Kluyveromyces lactis: one gene and its partners. The protein of the gene in region 4 purifies or fractionates together with the protein of the main gene of each other region. This does not show direct contact. Links are inferred from orthologs where the notes say so. Each region holds a gene or a part of one and is shown on either strand. Other genes may lie near its edges. The genes, in order: YTA7, SCC2, MCD1 and STH1.

What was found.
Region 1: the proteins of STH1 (region 4) and YTA7 purify together in Saccharomyces cerevisiae (affinity purification with mass spectrometry; 3 studies listed by BioGRID). This does not show direct contact. The link is inferred for Kluyveromyces lactis from reciprocal best matches to the Saccharomyces cerevisiae genes STH1 and YTA7.
Region 2: the proteins of STH1 (region 4) and SCC2 purify together in Saccharomyces cerevisiae (affinity purification with mass spectrometry; 3 studies listed by BioGRID, with this or other methods). This does not show direct contact. The link is inferred for Kluyveromyces lactis from reciprocal best matches to the Saccharomyces cerevisiae genes STH1 and SCC2.
Region 3: the proteins of STH1 (region 4) and MCD1 purify together in Saccharomyces cerevisiae (affinity purification with western blotting; 4 studies listed by BioGRID, with this or other methods). This does not show direct contact. The link is inferred for Kluyveromyces lactis from reciprocal best matches to the Saccharomyces cerevisiae genes STH1 and MCD1.

What each region holds. Positions count from the first base shown.
Region 1 is NC_006037.1:856,981-861,296, reverse strand, and holds the start of YTA7 (chromatin segregase YTA7), read right to left. Parts: upstream 2,840-4,316; coding exon 1-2,839. Other genes in the region: GOT1 (Got1p), read right to left, coding at 3,208-3,602, 3,791-3,818; KLLA0_A09779g (uncharacterized protein), read left to right, coding at 4,289-4,316. UniProt on the Saccharomyces cerevisiae protein: Functions as an ATP-dependent nucleosome disassembly factor that helps evict canonical histone H3 from the 5'-end of genes upon their induction.
Region 2 is NC_006040.1:1,532,447-1,536,444, reverse strand, and holds the start of SCC2 (cohesin-loading factor complex subunit SCC2), read right to left. Parts: upstream 2,864-3,998; coding exon 1-2,863. Other genes in the region: pseudouridine synthase PUS5, read left to right, coding at 3,218-3,998. UniProt on the Saccharomyces cerevisiae protein: Plays a structural role in chromatin and is involved in sister chromatid cohesion. Forms a complex with SCC4 required for the stable association of the cohesin complex with chromatin, which may act by hydrolyzing ATP from SMC1 and SMC3 heads.
Region 3 is NC_006042.1:1,366,856-1,370,506, reverse strand, and holds MCD1 (kleisin alpha), read right to left. Parts: upstream 2,314-3,651; coding exon 511-2,313; downstream 1-510. Other genes in the region: RQC1 (Rqc1p), read left to right, coding at 1-398; ATP16 (F1F0 ATP synthase subunit delta), read right to left, coding at 3,526-3,651. UniProt on the Saccharomyces cerevisiae protein: Cleavable component of the cohesin complex involved in chromosome cohesion during cell cycle. The cohesin complex is required for the cohesion of sister chromatids after DNA replication.
Region 4 is NC_006042.1:436,843-441,104, forward strand, and holds the start of STH1 (RSC chromatin remodeling complex ATPase subunit STH1), read right to left. Parts: upstream 2,842-4,262; coding exon 1-2,841. Other genes in the region: RRT14 (Rrt14p), read left to right, coding at 3,496-4,101. UniProt on the Saccharomyces cerevisiae protein: Catalytic component of the chromatin structure-remodeling complex (RSC), which is involved in transcription regulation and nucleosome positioning. RSC is responsible for the transfer of a histone octamer from a nucleosome core particle to naked DNA.

The DNA of each region.
Region 1 (4,316 bases), on a different chromosome or scaffold from region 4:
TTTTCAATTCCAGTCTCAATTTCTCCTCTTCTGTTAAAAGTCTGCCATTCTCATCTATTTCCTGTGAGGTTTCGACGACAGGTAATTTTGGAAGTGGCTTCTTCCTTTTCCTCGATTCAATGTATTGAGTCGGTTTCATCTTAATAAGATCAGCTACGGTTTTGAAATACATAAACCTTTGATGAGGGGAGGGTTCGTTAATGTTCACTATGTTGGGCCCAAAGGAAAACATTGCAAGTGGACCGTCCTCAATTTCAGCGCGAGATAAGCCGTCAGCGATAGCTAGTAAAACCACGTTTTCATTACTCTGCAATGATCTGAAAAGAGTGGTTAAAGTGATGAGACAACTTTGGGGACAGGCTTGGAGCCATAATTCTAAGTTTGGTATGCAAATTACAGAGGGTTGACGCTTCTTAGCCTCCGCGAATGTTTGTACAAGTGCTGCTTCCATCGTTCTACTACTCTCCGATACCAAGGTAGGAATGTCAAGCATTTGAATATTGTAATCTTCCAAAAAGTGTAGTGTGGCGGAAGCGATATATTGTAACCCGTTACCGGGCGGGCCTGTGATCAAAAGTTTCGGTTTGCAGACACGAGATTTCTTGATAAGTTTTAAAAATTCATGCTTATCGAATCCAGTACCTTCTTCGTCATCAGAATCCTCAAGATCCTCATTTTCTAAGTAATATTGAATAATGGAGGAACCCGATTTCAATTTTGTGCTTTGCTTGGGTAGTAGTAAGTTGAGCTGATCCTTGACGTTAATAAATTGTTGAGCGAGGAGCGGTTCAACATATTTTGGTAAAGGCTGCGCTGTAGAGCCAGTAGCTCTAGCAGATGATGGTACAATCTTTTCTAGTGCAAGCATGAAGTCTCTAGCCTTGACTCTAACTGATTTAGGATCAATCTTTAGCTTTTCTTCACTTTTATAGATTTGTGGAAACTTTCTTTGGATACTGATCAAAGATGCTTCTGTACAAAGTGCTCTTAAGTCAGCACCACCGTATCCTTTAGTTAAGGAGGCTAGCTTTGAAATAAATTGATCTGAAATAGGTGGATTCCATTTCTTGGTGTGAATATGCAAAATTTTATCTCTAGCCTTCAAGTCTGGTAGAGGGAAATAGAACTCACGGTCAAATCTACCTGGTCTTCTTAAAGCAGGATCCACTGCATCTGGTCTATTCGTAGCACCGATTATAATAATCTGACCTCTATTATCCATACCATCCATCAATGCCAACATTGTCGACACGATACTGGCATGGATTTGTTCCTGTTTGGAAGATCTAACTGGAGCCAACCCATCAATTTCATCAAAGAAAATGATTGCCGGTTGATGTTTCTTTGCTTCTTCAAACAATAACCTTAATTGTCTTTCAGCTTCACCAACCCATTTGGAAAGAATGTCAGCACCCTTCCTCATGAAGAAAGTGATCTTTCTCTTCTCATTTGAGCAACTTGCGGCCAATGCTCTAGCCATCAAAGTCTTACCTGTACCTGGTGGGCCATGGAACAAGACACCACGAGGTGGAGTAATATTGAAGTTTTGATAAAGTTCTGGGTACAACAATGGCAATGCCACCATCTCCTTTAATTGGTCAATGTAGTTATCTAGACCACCGACATCATCAAAATTAATGTTCATATCGACACCAAGTGGGTCCAAATCTGCAATTTCCGGTTTCTTTTTCTTCTTTTGTTTTGATGGATCCTTTGGTTTCGGTTTCATACCCAAAGCTAAGATTTCGTCATCGGATGAATCAGAATCCAAAAATTTGTTTGACTGTTCGTTTAGAGCGTTTGGATTAGAGTTGTAGAATTGAACGTTTTTACCAAATATCGCCGTAACATCGTTTCCACCAAATGGACCACCGGTAGGGAATAACCTTCTAATAGGTCCAAAACTTTGACCCGAATGTAAACCACGTTTACCTCTTGGGGACTGATAAACGGATGATTGGTATGGAAGTGTTCCTGGAGGTATTCCTGGCACCGAAGTAGCTTCCATAGCACCAATTTGATTTTCAGACAAAGGTGGTGGGATCGTGTAATTTACTGGTTTTGTACGTTCTCTCAAAGACCTTTTCTCTCTGATAGGACTGTCCTCCTGTAATTCTCTAATTTCGTCCTCAAGTGTAAGCGCTTCTCTAGTACGTGCACTTGCCGATCTATGACGACCGCTACCTACCGTATCATCGTCGTCTTCATCGTCATCTACAACACGAGACGATCTGGTTCTATGCGGCCTTAACTTCCGAGGAGGCTGTTCCCTACGCGTACTTCTTGCTGCAGACCGTTTTGGTCTTCTTCCACGTCTCACAGTACCATCGTCATCCTCTTCATCCTCATCTCCATCATCTTCATCTTCATCCAGATCCTCTTCCTTGATACTATAATCTTCATTCCCATCAGATCCATCCTCATCGTCCTTGACAATGAAATTTTTATCTCTTCTTCTCGCTATCCGTTTGCGATCATCTGCTGGGTCGATATACTCATCGCCGTCATCAACATCGTCGTCGTCATCGTCATCATCGTCTACATCTTCCTCGTGGAACGAAACGTCATCATCGTCGTCATCATCACGAACCCTCTTGTTCCTCTGACCGGGACGCCTACCACGACGCCTACCAGTACCGGTATCTGAATAGTTAGCACCAACGGCGGCTGTTCCTCCAGAATTCGTATCAGATTCCTCGATATAATCGTAACCATTCTCAATCTCTGCGTAGTTAACTTTTTTCAGCAGCCTCGGTGTGGTATGAGCAATCCCATTATCATCGTAAAACTCAGTATGAGTGCCAGATTCATCGTCACCGCTCTTGCTATGGAGCGTCATTTTGATTCCTTTGATCTAAACTTCTAAAAGGCTTTTCTTATTTTGCAGTTTCGGAACTGTAGAAATCAAAAAGAATGCGACAGAGACACACAAAATTCACCCCACAAAGTCTCTGATTTAATGAATAACAATCGAACCTAACCCAATTGGCTTGTCTAATGGCCCAAAACGCCAATTTGATCCTTAAAAGCTGTGTTTAATGCCGTATATTATCGTTATAAATCTCTGAACACAACTTAAACTGGTTCTGGGAGCTTTTTGGTTTTGTTTATTTAGAGGTATATTCAGGTAGGGTAATCGACATATTTTGGACAGGGTAACCATTCCCGAATACAGCTCATATATATATAGATACACACACTCACACATCACACAGGAAGCACTGACACACCAGCTATACGGTCTAGGACTGGTGCAATGGTAGGGTGAGACAGTACTGGTCCGATTATAGGAATGGACCTCAGCAATTGGAGGATCACGCCGAAAAAGTCGCCGAATAGACCGACTATACCTAACGATTCGATGATGAACCCAAGGAACGTCCACTTACATAAGATCATGAATATCCCAAACACGAGAAACAAGGTCCCACGTCTCTTTGTCGGTCTAGTGAAGAATTTGAGAGTCTTGTGTGGGCCTATCATCAGCAGCACGCCGAGTAGGAACAAGATGTTCCCAACAGCCAATAGTGCTCTATCGAAGAAGGTGAAGATACCAAAAAGGAAGAACAAACATCCACCGAACGTGAACACAGCACCGAATTCTGGGGAGATAAGTGGGATTTCAAGATTTTGGCAAGTACTGTAACAAAAGTGAGATAGAAAGACGGATTGAACAATCCGTCTTTCTATTTCCCTTATGTTCGCATGAGTTTACTGGCCGATCTCAAATAACAAATGTTAGTAAAGGGAAACCAAAAATAATAGTAAACGCATACATGGTTTAACATACGCTGTGACTCCGATAGCCAACTACTCATTGTTATGTGCTATTGTTGCGTGTATATCAAATACTATGAGCATATATAGAGAGGCAAACAGTGCCTATCTTGATGCGTTAATGTGCACATATTTACTGCGCTCGTCCAGAAGCCCATCGCTTTTCGCGATTGGGCTTCTGGACTGAAAAGACGTGAAGTGTTACCCGGTCATTGTGTTTTCCGGGTAACGAAAATCGTTCGAGGCTTTGAATCAGCAAATTTACCGGCCGTTGCTATTAAGTCCAATGGTTTATACCCTTGAAGCCACCATTACTATACACCATTTAGGGTTCCTTTTTCCACCTTAGAGCCGTGGATTTGCATGTTATTGCGTGGATATGATGGTTCACTCATCTGCTAGACGAGTCATGGATATATAAGACACGCATAAGCCAGATGTCTAACTAGATGCATGGAAGAAAGGTTGGAAGGAGCCGTTGGCTGTTAGGCACGTGACCCAACATTCTATAATGGCAGCGTCAGTTAAACAATCAGGTA
Region 2 (3,998 bases), on a different chromosome or scaffold from region 4:
ACGAAAGATATGGAAAGAGTGAGTAGAGATGCGGTTTTGATATGAAATTGATCGGACAATTGGCAAAAAAATAAAGTAGGTCATATCTATTTCTTGCATTCGATTCACTCAGTTCGTCTGCAGATGCTGCATTCTCAGTAATCTCTTCAATAAGTACATTAACAAGATTTCTTAAAGCATCAAATATCGACTTCGTATCTTCATTCTTATGAATGGAGGGGTTCAATACGAAAAAATGAAAGAAGAACTCCAACAGTTCCTCAGTCTTGCCACCATAACCGATGAGTGTTGATAATAGCTCGAGGGTTTCTGATAAATCAAATCTATGCAGTTTTACGGACAAGTCAGATGCACTATGTCTCAAAATTAGTCTATGAAGTAATAGTTTCCTGGCATTTTCCACGATAACATCCTCTTCATCCTCAATTCGTCTCAAGACTTTTTCTAAAACGAATGTCTTTATTTTCAGGTCGGAACTTGTATCAAGAATCTTTTCATTCATCCGCATAACATGTTTTCGAACTGCTATACTGTCATCGTCAAAGTTACAGTTTATTTCTCGGTAGAATTGAATGTAGGTTGTGGCCTGCTCTAGAAGATCCAAAATTGCATCTCTAACGGAAGCCGAAGAGTCATAGAGTCTGTTTTTTATGGTTTCCTGAACAAAAGGAGTATCTAACATCTGAGGATCCTTTGATACTAATAGGGTCAAACATTTAACTGCTCCTGATTTAAGTTTTACTTTTTGTTGATCCAATAACGAAAGAATGAGCCTCAAAGCGGGTTCATAAAAGTTAAACAACGGACTAAGTGAAACAATTTTCATGTAAAGGGACCGAACTCTTTCATTACCATCGATACCATTATTTATTTCTTTCTCGCTTATTTCTTTCTCGCTTATTTCTGTCTCCCTTATTTCTTTTGCTATTATACGTATAACAAAATTCATTACCTGTGCGTCTGTTTTGTCTATCTCCTTCTGATCTAACATCTCACTGATATAAAAAAGTGATTCATTCCACAATGCTCTATCGGAAAAATATGTCTTGGTCTGCGAACCCAACCAATCGAAACACTCTTTGTACTCATTTTGCAAATTAAATATCCTTTTTACATCCCTACTTTCCTCGGATGCAGCCCTCAGTTTAACGTCTGTCAAAGTGGCAGTAATTTGGCCGACAAGTTGAATAGCAAGCACTTCGAAGTTTCCTGTTCCTTGATACGTAGGGCTGAATATCTGAAACAATTTCGGCAAAAAAGCTTCTAATAAATGATGAGAATACGCCCATTTCGGGTTTCCTATCATAGTTAGCAAATCTTGGATGTAAATCTCCACAATTGATTTGAATTTGAAAGGATTCGTAATCAATCCTTCGAATAAAGTTGTTGTGACGTTATCGATTAGTCCTTTCAATTCCAAACTTGCGGCATTATTCTCGGACAGTACATTTTCAAGCAATTCAGACGTAAAATCTGACAATAGCTCAGCATCAGGCAAAGCATTTATTGACTGGAACATGGCAACAAGGGCGACAGTAAAATACGATGCGTAGCCATTCTCAAATTCATCGACCAATTTCAGTTTTTTAGTGGATTTTGAGACTACTATATCATGCACGTGTGATAATAATTCTTCCGTAATAAATAGCCGCTGAGATGGATACTCAGAAAAAAGTGATATTAATATTCCAAGAGAAAGGTCTTTTATCCGCTCCGCTTGCGATAAAAGCACATTAGTGTTTAAGTGTTGATAGCATCTGTGTAGTAGCATATCACAGCAAATGCACACTGATTTGATCAAAAACATTTCGTCCAAGTATGATTGAGAGGCGACAAACTTTTCCAATAAATTGATGAATAAGAATATATTTCCAATATCTGCATTAATACCTCTTGAGTTGTCCGAAACATGTAACTTCTCGAGCGCATTATCAAGCGCTGAGAACACAGCATTGTAATATTCTTCTAACTGAAGGTTTGCGGATTTGAGATCTATCATCATAACTTCAAGAATTAAAAATGCGCAACCAAACGTAAGGTTATTCAGATCTAAGGACTCAGATTCATTGTCTGATTGATATGCTAGGATTCTTTTGATATTTCTAGTGCAAAGACCCAGTATTTTTTTAAGAGATTGAACATCAATATACTCAAATACCATCGGAAATCCTAGAACTTTATTTATCGTCAACGATATTGCATCTATAGCCTCCGAAGTAGCAACGTAAACATCACCTAATGGCTTCCAGAATTTAGCGTTTTCATTAACACTCCCTTCAGAATTGAGTCCGACAGAATCTAACAATTTCGAAAGATGATCAAGACAAAGTTTTCCAACTTCCAAGTCATTCATCGGATTAGATTGTACACAAATTTGAATCCGTTTGGAATCCAGCTCATTCAGCAATACCTTGTCTTCCCCTGCTTCTAGCCTTCTTTTTTTAGTAGCTGTGTTCTGATTTCCAGCAACATTCGCAACAATACTAGCAGAATCGACCAGGCTTGTAACAGTCAGGCACCTGATTCCTAGCTGTGGAAGATTTTTCAGAAGCTTCAGATCAGGAGCAGTTTCTTGAGACTCATCTCTTAAAGTAATATTATTGGGTCTCCTGAATAAAATGGGGTCCCTGTCGCCTTCGTTAAATGGGTCGAAATCGATAGGGTGAGGGTATAGCCAATGTTCAGATGGGGGTGAACCGAACGCACTGTTACATGAAATACTGATATCTTCGGTTATTGAAGAACTCAGCAAATTAGATAGCCCTGACTTCGGTACTATGTGGTTAATTGGCTGGTACTTCAGTGTTTCAGAGATGCGTTTGGGAATCTCATTGTCAGTTTCGCCTGGAAACCCTTTCGCCATAGCCGCCACTGCTCAGTAATCAGAATATTACTGGAAAGGCAGTATTATTTGAAGAAGATGATAATGCCCAGAGAAAAGCAGATGAAATAGAGCTTCCGGGTGTAAACTATCTGCTGTTGCTTCTTTCAACTTGATGAAATCGTTTGACCGTTCATTGCTGTAGAGATCTAGTATTCGTCTCATTAATTATTTATATATCTATTCGGCTTTCTTGATTTGAAAAAGGCTGCTGCAGTTTTGAGAAAAATATCATGAGAATGATGAGGGAAGCATAAGTAGTCATGAATGTAGCTGAGAGGAGAAAACCGTTAGTTCCTGTACATCTGCATTGCTTAAATCATAGTACTAATTGATATGCTACGTAGAGGCTTCATAAAACAACCCCCTTTCGTGAAGATCTTTAAAATCGTCTCCCCGGAGTCGACAAACGCTAAGGCTACACATTGTGAAGTGGAATTCCCTTTAAAAGTACAAGAGCTCTGGCGTGACAAGCACCACGTAATTTTTAATAAGCCACCCTTGGCCCTTTCTCAATTACCTGACAAACGAACGTGGTACAATACTCACGACTATGATCCCCCAGTGTTATTGGATATTGTTCAAAGCTCTAGTGGAAGCATCCTGAAGGACGGTACATATGAACCATCGTACTACCCCATCCACAGGATTGACACACCAGTATCCGGTGGAATAGTATATGCTGTAAACAAACAGTCAGCACAACAATTTAGTCGAAATCTAAGGTATGGCGGGAATAAAGGATTCTCACTAACTAGAAAGTATGTCGCAAAAGTTGGAAAATCTAAGACTGCGAATGAGTGTAAAGAAGGTCTCATAAAGTGGAATGGTGCAATCACATATTTTCAGCGTGTCGACAATGAACACCTAATTTTACAGTTGGTAACTGGGAAGAAGCATCAGATACGGAAACTTACACAGCAAGTTCTTGATTCGCCAATTTATAATGACTTGAAATACGGTGGTAAGAAGGTTTTTGACAGTGACTTTCAAATCGCATTACATTCAGCTTATATACGGACAAAAATTGGTTTTAATATACATGAGCAAATCATTCCCGTTCCAGACGGTTTTAGAATGATATGGGGAGAATCTGTAGACCAAAATGGGAACTTCA
Region 3 (3,651 bases), about 930 kb from region 4:
CCACTTCGTTTGACACTGATGCAGTGAAGGATATAAATGATGGCGATGATGATGACGACGTGGCGCCAACATCATTCTTCATCAATAACATTCCAATTAATTTGTTAAGGTTTGCTATTCTTTCTCAAGAGTCATCCGTTATGGCTGCTATTCCCGAAGAAATTTGGTCAGATCATTCTGTGTTTGAATTCGATGTACTACCACCACAACCACATGATAGAGAAAGTGAGTATGTAGTAGAAACAATCGAAGGACTAATTGATAGTAAACATCTAGAAATATCCCAAATGAACAGGTTCGCTGATGAGGAGCTTTTACAACACATTAACCAGTTATCAATACAAGAATACTTGGAGCAGCAGCAACAACAGCAACAACCAAATGAAGAAATCGAATAGCACAACAACTTGAACTGATCTGCCGTCATGTATATTTAAACCAACTTAAAAAAACAGATATTATTAATTATTTATACATAATGTCCGTTATAAAAGTATCCAAATTAAAAGTCTATGCGGTAACAAACGTCTCATATAAGTTTGATTTTCCTAAAATTGTGATTTGTCCAAATGTTTCCTTCTGTTTCAATGATATACAGTCTGCGGTGGCAAGAGAAAGTAACTCAAAGAATGCTTTACTGGCCATTCTTTTTGTTATTACCGCGTTATCCTGGTACTTCGAAGTAAGGATTTTATCAAAAGTAGCTTCACCGGAGCTCATTTCATCTCTCAGTAGAGTTGCCATTTCCACTGTAGATTTAGACACGATTTCACCGGTAGCAAGCTCTACTTTTTGACTTTTTTCCTTTTCAATTGACCCACGAGAGGCAAATTCGTCTGATTGAATGGCTTGGTAATCATTTTCTTCCATGGATGTATCAGCTGCAAGAACTGGAGGTTCATCATCAGCAAACACTGGTCCTTCTGATTCTGCATCAAAGCCCATTTGTTGGTGATCGAATGGATCAGAATTGTGTACCAAACTTCCATCGATACCCAAAGAGATATCTATATCAACATCGGACCCATCAGATTGGCTGGATTGTGACAGAGCTCTAGGCTTCTTTGAAGCTTTATGGTTGAAGAAATTAGATATAATCTTTTGAGGAAGGAAGTCCAGGTCAGAGTATAATTCATCGATGGCTCTTTTTTTCTTTGATATAGCGGACGAAGTCTCATCAGAAACGATAAGAATTGAGTCCGATGGTCCTCCTTTCACTTCAGAATCGTTTAATTCGGCATCAGCATCTATGAGAACCTTCTTAACATTGATAAAGGCTTTATTCCTTGGTGCCCTCTTCTTTACTGCTCTAGGTGGTATGTATGCCTCTGCTTGCTCTTGATGCTCTGGTTCTGTGTCCTTTGGCAGCCCTAGATCAAAGTCTAAGAGTGTATCATCATGCAATGAGTGAGTAATATCAGCCCTTCTCCCGATCTCTACAGACATGTCGCTACCATGGCTAGACTGATTACCAGAAATATTCTGATCATCATCGTTTAATCCCAAATCCCAATCATCGTTAAGTGGTAGCAATTCATCATCATCGTCATTGTCATTTCTAATAGTCAAATCACCTTCATTTTCTCCATCATCCGCGTTTACTTCACTAGCAGTAACACGAGTCCCTTCACCCCATGATTTAGTGTTATTGCTTTGATTAGAATCACCAAGGTCAAAATCTAATTTCAAATGAGATGAATCGTGATGTTCAATAGCATTCAAGTCATCATCTTCATCTGCCAGGAATCGCCTTCCAACTTCTAAGGACATATCCCATGCTTGTTGTTGTGCTGCAATGGCGGATGTTACAGGTGCTGCTCCTTGCACTTGTCTTTCCATTGATCGTTCAGCGATCAAAAAACCTTCTGGCACTTGGATATCTTTCAAGAAATCCAAACTGGGCATCTCCAAGACGTCAAGTTCTGTAACCGCATCTTGCAATAAAAGCTGATCTAACTTTGCCACTGTATCTAGCTGAATTGTGACGCTCTTGTTCAGCGATCCCTTGAAGATAGATTTCACTTTACTCAGTAAGTCTGTGATATCAGTAAGCAGATAGGATGCTTTTTGAGAATAAACTTTTACAACACCATGTAGTAACTCACCGGAAGCACGTAATGTGATAGGTTCCACAGATTCATCATCTAGATTAACACCTGCAGCTTTGGCAATCTCTTCAACAGATTCCACGATATTAGTCTTTGCAATGTTCCGATTGATGCTACTCAAATTGGAAGCCAGCCAGATCTGAGCCAACGGCCCATTGCTTGTATTTAATCTCACCTGAGTATGTGAATTGCTATTTGGTGGCATATACGTTGTTTATTTTTGGATTAGGTGATATAAGGCTCGTGGTTCCTGTTGCAAATGGTATAGCAAATGGATATAAACTTAAGATCGAGATTAGAACTTGATCTTATAAGGAATGGTTAGCAAAATAAAAATGAAATAAAATAGCACTGTGTCTTTTTTCAGAGGTCACGACATTAAAATTCCATAGGTAATATATATATTTGATAAAATTATTGGTAAAGGTGCAATCAATATGATGGAATAGACATACTTCTCATCCAGTGTTTATCAATGATATTTGTTAAAGGATTGCTGGTTATAGATCTCATCACGGAAACGCGTTATGGAGAAAAATCGCGAAAATATTTTTGGGGGAAAACAATGTCTTTTTCTGGGACCTCAAAAGATTTCCCGCCGGAAAAATTTCGATTTCGTGGTATAAAATCCGGGTAACAAGTGAGGACCTTATACCCATTTATTACCCTGCCTTTCTAACTCTTGTTGATGCCAAAACCAGATCATCTCTCTCAGTATGCGCAGTCAGTTTAATCGGTATATATGAATATGAATCTTAAAACTAGACATCAGTTACACACAAATCGTTTCTGCTAAAAAATATAAAATCTAAGTCTTTCAATTCGGTTCTTAATTGATAATATTTTTAACGGGGATAGACAAATTATAATCGATCCAGTGTTTTCTTTGATATTGTTAGAAAGGAAGGAATAGTATATTGAAGAAAGATTTATGTTTGTTGGTCATTAAAACAAAGACTAGAACCCCCTTTTGAAACGGAATCGAGACATCACTTGTATCAACCTCCATATCATTTAGAATTTTTAGGTTTTATCGTATTTATTTCTTCTGATTTCTTTTAATTCGCTGGGTTTTAATTCGTTGTATATTTTAGTAATAGTCGTTTTAGGTTAATTCTCAATAGTTCCCAGTCTTATTCGTACGTTCACACTACAGTATTGTATGGAAAGAAAGGACAATGACCGGAGCAACAAAAAAGGGTCTTTAGGCTAAATCATGAAATGTATTCGTCGTTGTGTTGTGTAAGCTTGTGCAATGGAATAATAGGAATTAGAATAATGAAAAAAAAGCAGACGAAGGATAATACAAACGCCGAGACAGGTTTACAATCAACCGGGAAAACAATTGCTTCCAAGTAGAGTATCCGTATCAAGTGTATTATACCTTGGTCCAATTGTAATTCTTCGTTCATCTCAATTATTTCAAAGCGGCTTGCAAAGCTTCCAAAACTTCAAGTTGGATAGCAGCTTCGGCAGCAGCAACTTCGTCAGCAGAGGAGACGTTCTTTTGAGCTTCAGCCAACAGAGATCTAACGTTTTCTGG
Region 4 (4,262 bases):
AATTCTGTGAGCTCTATCTTGGGCTTGTAAATCCTGATGAGGATTCCAATCAGTATCGAAAATAATGACCGTATCAGCAGTCTGCAAATTTAGACCTAACCCACCAGCTCTGGTAGAAAGTAAAAAGCAGAAGTACTCAGAATCGGGTGCATTAAACAGTTTTAACATTCCAGTTCTATCCTCTGCTTTGGTACCACCATCCAATCTCATATATTTAAGGTCTCGCATCCTTAAGAAATCTTCCATGATATCCATAACTTGAGTCATCTGGAAAAACATCAATACTCTATGACCTGACGCTTTAAATTTTGGAAGAACTCGGTCTAGAAGTTCAAATTTACCACTAACACGATACAAAATGGAGCTGTTCTCTCTCGTTGGGTTGATAACATTTTCAACCTCATCGAAAACGAATGGATGATTACATATCTTCCTTAACTGCATGACCTTGTTGTTCAAACCTTTGATACCAGCCTTGGTTGCACCTTCTGTTCCTGCACCAATAAAGAAAGCATTATGTTTTAACATTTGTTCGTATAGTTGCTGCTGGAGACTTGATAGCTTACATTTCACAACCTTCTCAACTTTGTCAGGTAAATCTTTTTCGACTTCCTTCTTCAAACGACGTAACAAAAATGGACGTAAAACTTTGTGCAATCTTCTAATAACTAGAAGCGTTTCTTCTTCTGTCATTTCTAGCTTTTCTTGAGTACCTGTGTTCGCGAATGGTGTATTAAACCATTCGTCAAATGTTTTTGAGGAATTAAAGATCTTAGGTAAAACAAAATTTAATAGAGCCCACAATTCTGGTAGATTATTTTGCAATGGAGTACCCGTTAAAATTAGCCTATTTTTTGTTTTGTAGTAATGTGTCAACGTGTAAGATAGTTTTGATTGAGCGTTTTTCATTCTATGACCTTCATCGATAATCATATGAGCCCAATCGTGTTTGGCCAACAGTGGACGATCCTTTATAATGTACTCATAAGTAGTTAGAACCACGTCGAAATTTCCCATTTTGATTGTATGTTGCAAAGCCTTACGTTGGTTTGGGTTCCCTTTGTACACAATGGTTCTTAGAGAAGGTGCCCATTTTTCGAATTCTATAGTCCAGTTCGTGATGGTGGATAAAGGGACAATCACCAAAAATGGTTGCCTCTCGTTCTTTATTTCATAAAGATAACTGATCAACGAGATGGATTGAATTGTTTTACCTAGACCCATTTCATCTGCGAGAATACCGTTAAGATGATTATTGTATAGAGACACCATCCACTCTAAACCCTTTAGTTGATACTCTTTCAACGTGCCTCCAACCAATATGCTTGGCTGTTTGTCTACTGTTTCCTTAATTCTGTGGGAAACCTCGTAATAATCAATTTTTTCTCTTTCTTCATCCGTGATTGGAGGAATTTCTTCACCCCTTTTGATGCGTACCTCATTTTGCTGCACTCTAACCGCTTGAGCAAGAGAATCCAAGAAAGAATTAGTTTGTTTCAATAGATGTGTAATTCTTGTATCTTTGGTTTGGTCTAACAATTTCAAATATGCTTCTTCATCATTGGACTTCAAGGCTGCTAAACGTTGCTTGGCAGTTCTTTCCATTCTTCTCTGCTCATCTTTCTCCAAATGACCATGCAAGTTTCCGATAGATCTACCCATTTGATAACAGCGATCACGTTGTGTTGTATCATTCTCCAATCTTTCGTTGATACTTGATACAATATTATTGATCCTTTGTAACCGTAAGTTTCTTTCTCTTCTCCTGCTTTCTACCAATTCCTGCCTTTCAAGTTCTTCTGCTAATCTAGCAGTTTGTGGAACGATGGTCTTCGGTCTAACATGAATGGATCTTTGAGCTGCTAAAGTATAAGGAGAGTCACGGAGAGATGGAATGATATTATGCGATTTAGCTGCAACACTTTCAATCAGCCTCTTTCTCAAAGATTTCTGTTTCGTTAGCATTTTCAAGGACTTGAGCTCCACCAAAGCTCTTAACTTGAAGTCGTCTGCGCCGGTAGGAATATCATCTTTAGTTACAAAATCAAGCGCATCATTTAAAGAATATGTTCCCAAATTAGAGGGTAGATTTTCAAGTTGTTTAATTCTTTTCGCAATGAGTGTGGAGATTATTTTTTCAACCTCCCAATCTCCAAGCGAGGCTTCATTTCCAGATTTAAGACGAAAGTTGCTTAAAGCTTCGGGAAGGCCTAAGCGCACACTTGTTTCGTCGAAATCAACAGAAAGTTTAACCTTCTCCAGTTGTACCGAGATATCAGAACTGTCGGAACTTACTGATTCATCATCATCATCCTCTAAGAGGCCATCCGGTATATTTATATCTTTACTCAAAAGCTGTAAGCTTACCATTTGCTCCTTCAACAACTTTTCGTCCCACTGAATATCTTTGGCTGCGTTTTCTCTTAACCTCAGCAGCCTTTCCTTGTACTCTTCCTGTTTATCCGAGATTTGGGTGAAAATTTGTTCAATAGCCTCAACTTCAAGCTTATTATGATCTCTATATTGAGAAATGTATCTGTAACGATAAATCAAATTTTCTAATTGTTCTTTCGTTTCAGGTAGTGGCAAGATTACTCTTTCCACCTTCTTCATTTCTTCTAGAACAGCGGCAATCTGGTTCTGTCCAATAGCACTACCACTGTCGTTCCGAAAATTGTTGTTGCTTCCTTTGTCAGCACCAACATGGTTGTCTTCGATATTGCCGTTAACGTCCTGGTTTTCAGTTTCGGAATTCCCATTATCAACATTCTCAGAATTCACTATAGGAAGCGGATAAGGAGGCGCTGTATCCGCGTTATTCGTTACGACGACTTGATCCATTGTTGTTTTATTTCACACTTCTTAACGTGATCCAGGTCTCTTCCCGCTAGTGAGCTTTAAACCTTTTTTATTCTGAAAGGGGGTAAAACAATAACTGAAGTCCTGCTAAAAAAATTCAGAGTTGTCACAAAGCTAACGCGATACAAACAGGTACTATTGCCCTAGAATTCTTTACTGTTTCGCTTTCGGTGCGTCTATTTTTTTAGCCGCCGTTGCCGTGTTGAAAACAAACCTCTGTTCGTCCTTTTCTCGTGTCAAAACTAAATTCAGAATAAAATCAAACTGTTTTCAAATTCATCCTCTTTTTCACAATTTTATTTATCGTGTTTACTTTTTTCTTTGACATTCACTATTGCCATGGGCCAAAGTACGGGTAACAACAACAAGAACCGGGTAATAAACCAACTTCGATCACGTGCCAAAATATTCGCATTAAAGTGGGCACCATTGTTTCTTTTCTTGTTTAATATTTCATGACCTAAAATGAAAATTTGGATAATACGCCATGGATGAGATGAGATGAGATTAGATGAGATGTGATGAGAGTGAACTATCAAGTTCCCCGATTGAGATAGTTACAGTGCTTCGAACTGTTACAAAAGTGTCTTCTGTATTGACAATCAAGGTTTGAAGAACTAAAATTCTCTGATTATAATGTCATCTCTTGCAGCTGCTCATGCTACCAACGCTGTGAACGCATTGTTGCAAAGCGTACTGCCGGGTTCTGCGTCGGTTAATGCAGAAAGAAAGAAAACAAGCCGAGACAAAGGCTCGAAAGCACAACTAATAGATAGGAACTTGAAGAAAAGAGTAGAGGTACAAGAAAAGGATGTATACCGGATCAAAAAGAGGGAGAAGAAAATGTTGAGAAAGAAGATATCTGGAAGAAAAGAAGTCCAAGAGGATATAGAACAGAAGGCTAAGCTACAAGTACTAAGAAAGCATCAAGTAGATAATTCTCTTACGGATCATGAGAAATCCTATTTGGATAAAGTGGTGAAGAAAAATGTTCGCAACCTGAAAAGTTGGGATTATGACGATAAGGAAGAACTGTTAGATTTACAGAAACAAATACTTGCCAACTCAGAAGATTCAAAGAAGGTAAGGAAGGTAAAATCTAGGAGACAAAAGAAGAAACAGTTCAAGGAGAAGCTACCACAATCGATACAAGACCACAGATATAAAGCTCTCACACCTGGATTGGCTCCAGTTGGTGCGAGCGATGAGGAGGAATCAGAAGACGAAGATGAAGATTATTGAGCTCATATTTACAAAGACGTACAGGTACGGAGTTTTCATTGCGGCTCATACAAAGGTGTGTTTTTTTCTCTCAGCATATGATCAAATACTCAGTAGACTCAAGTGTTCATTGTCGGTTCATATATATTAATTAAGTATATTCATTATTTGAAGGAAGTAGA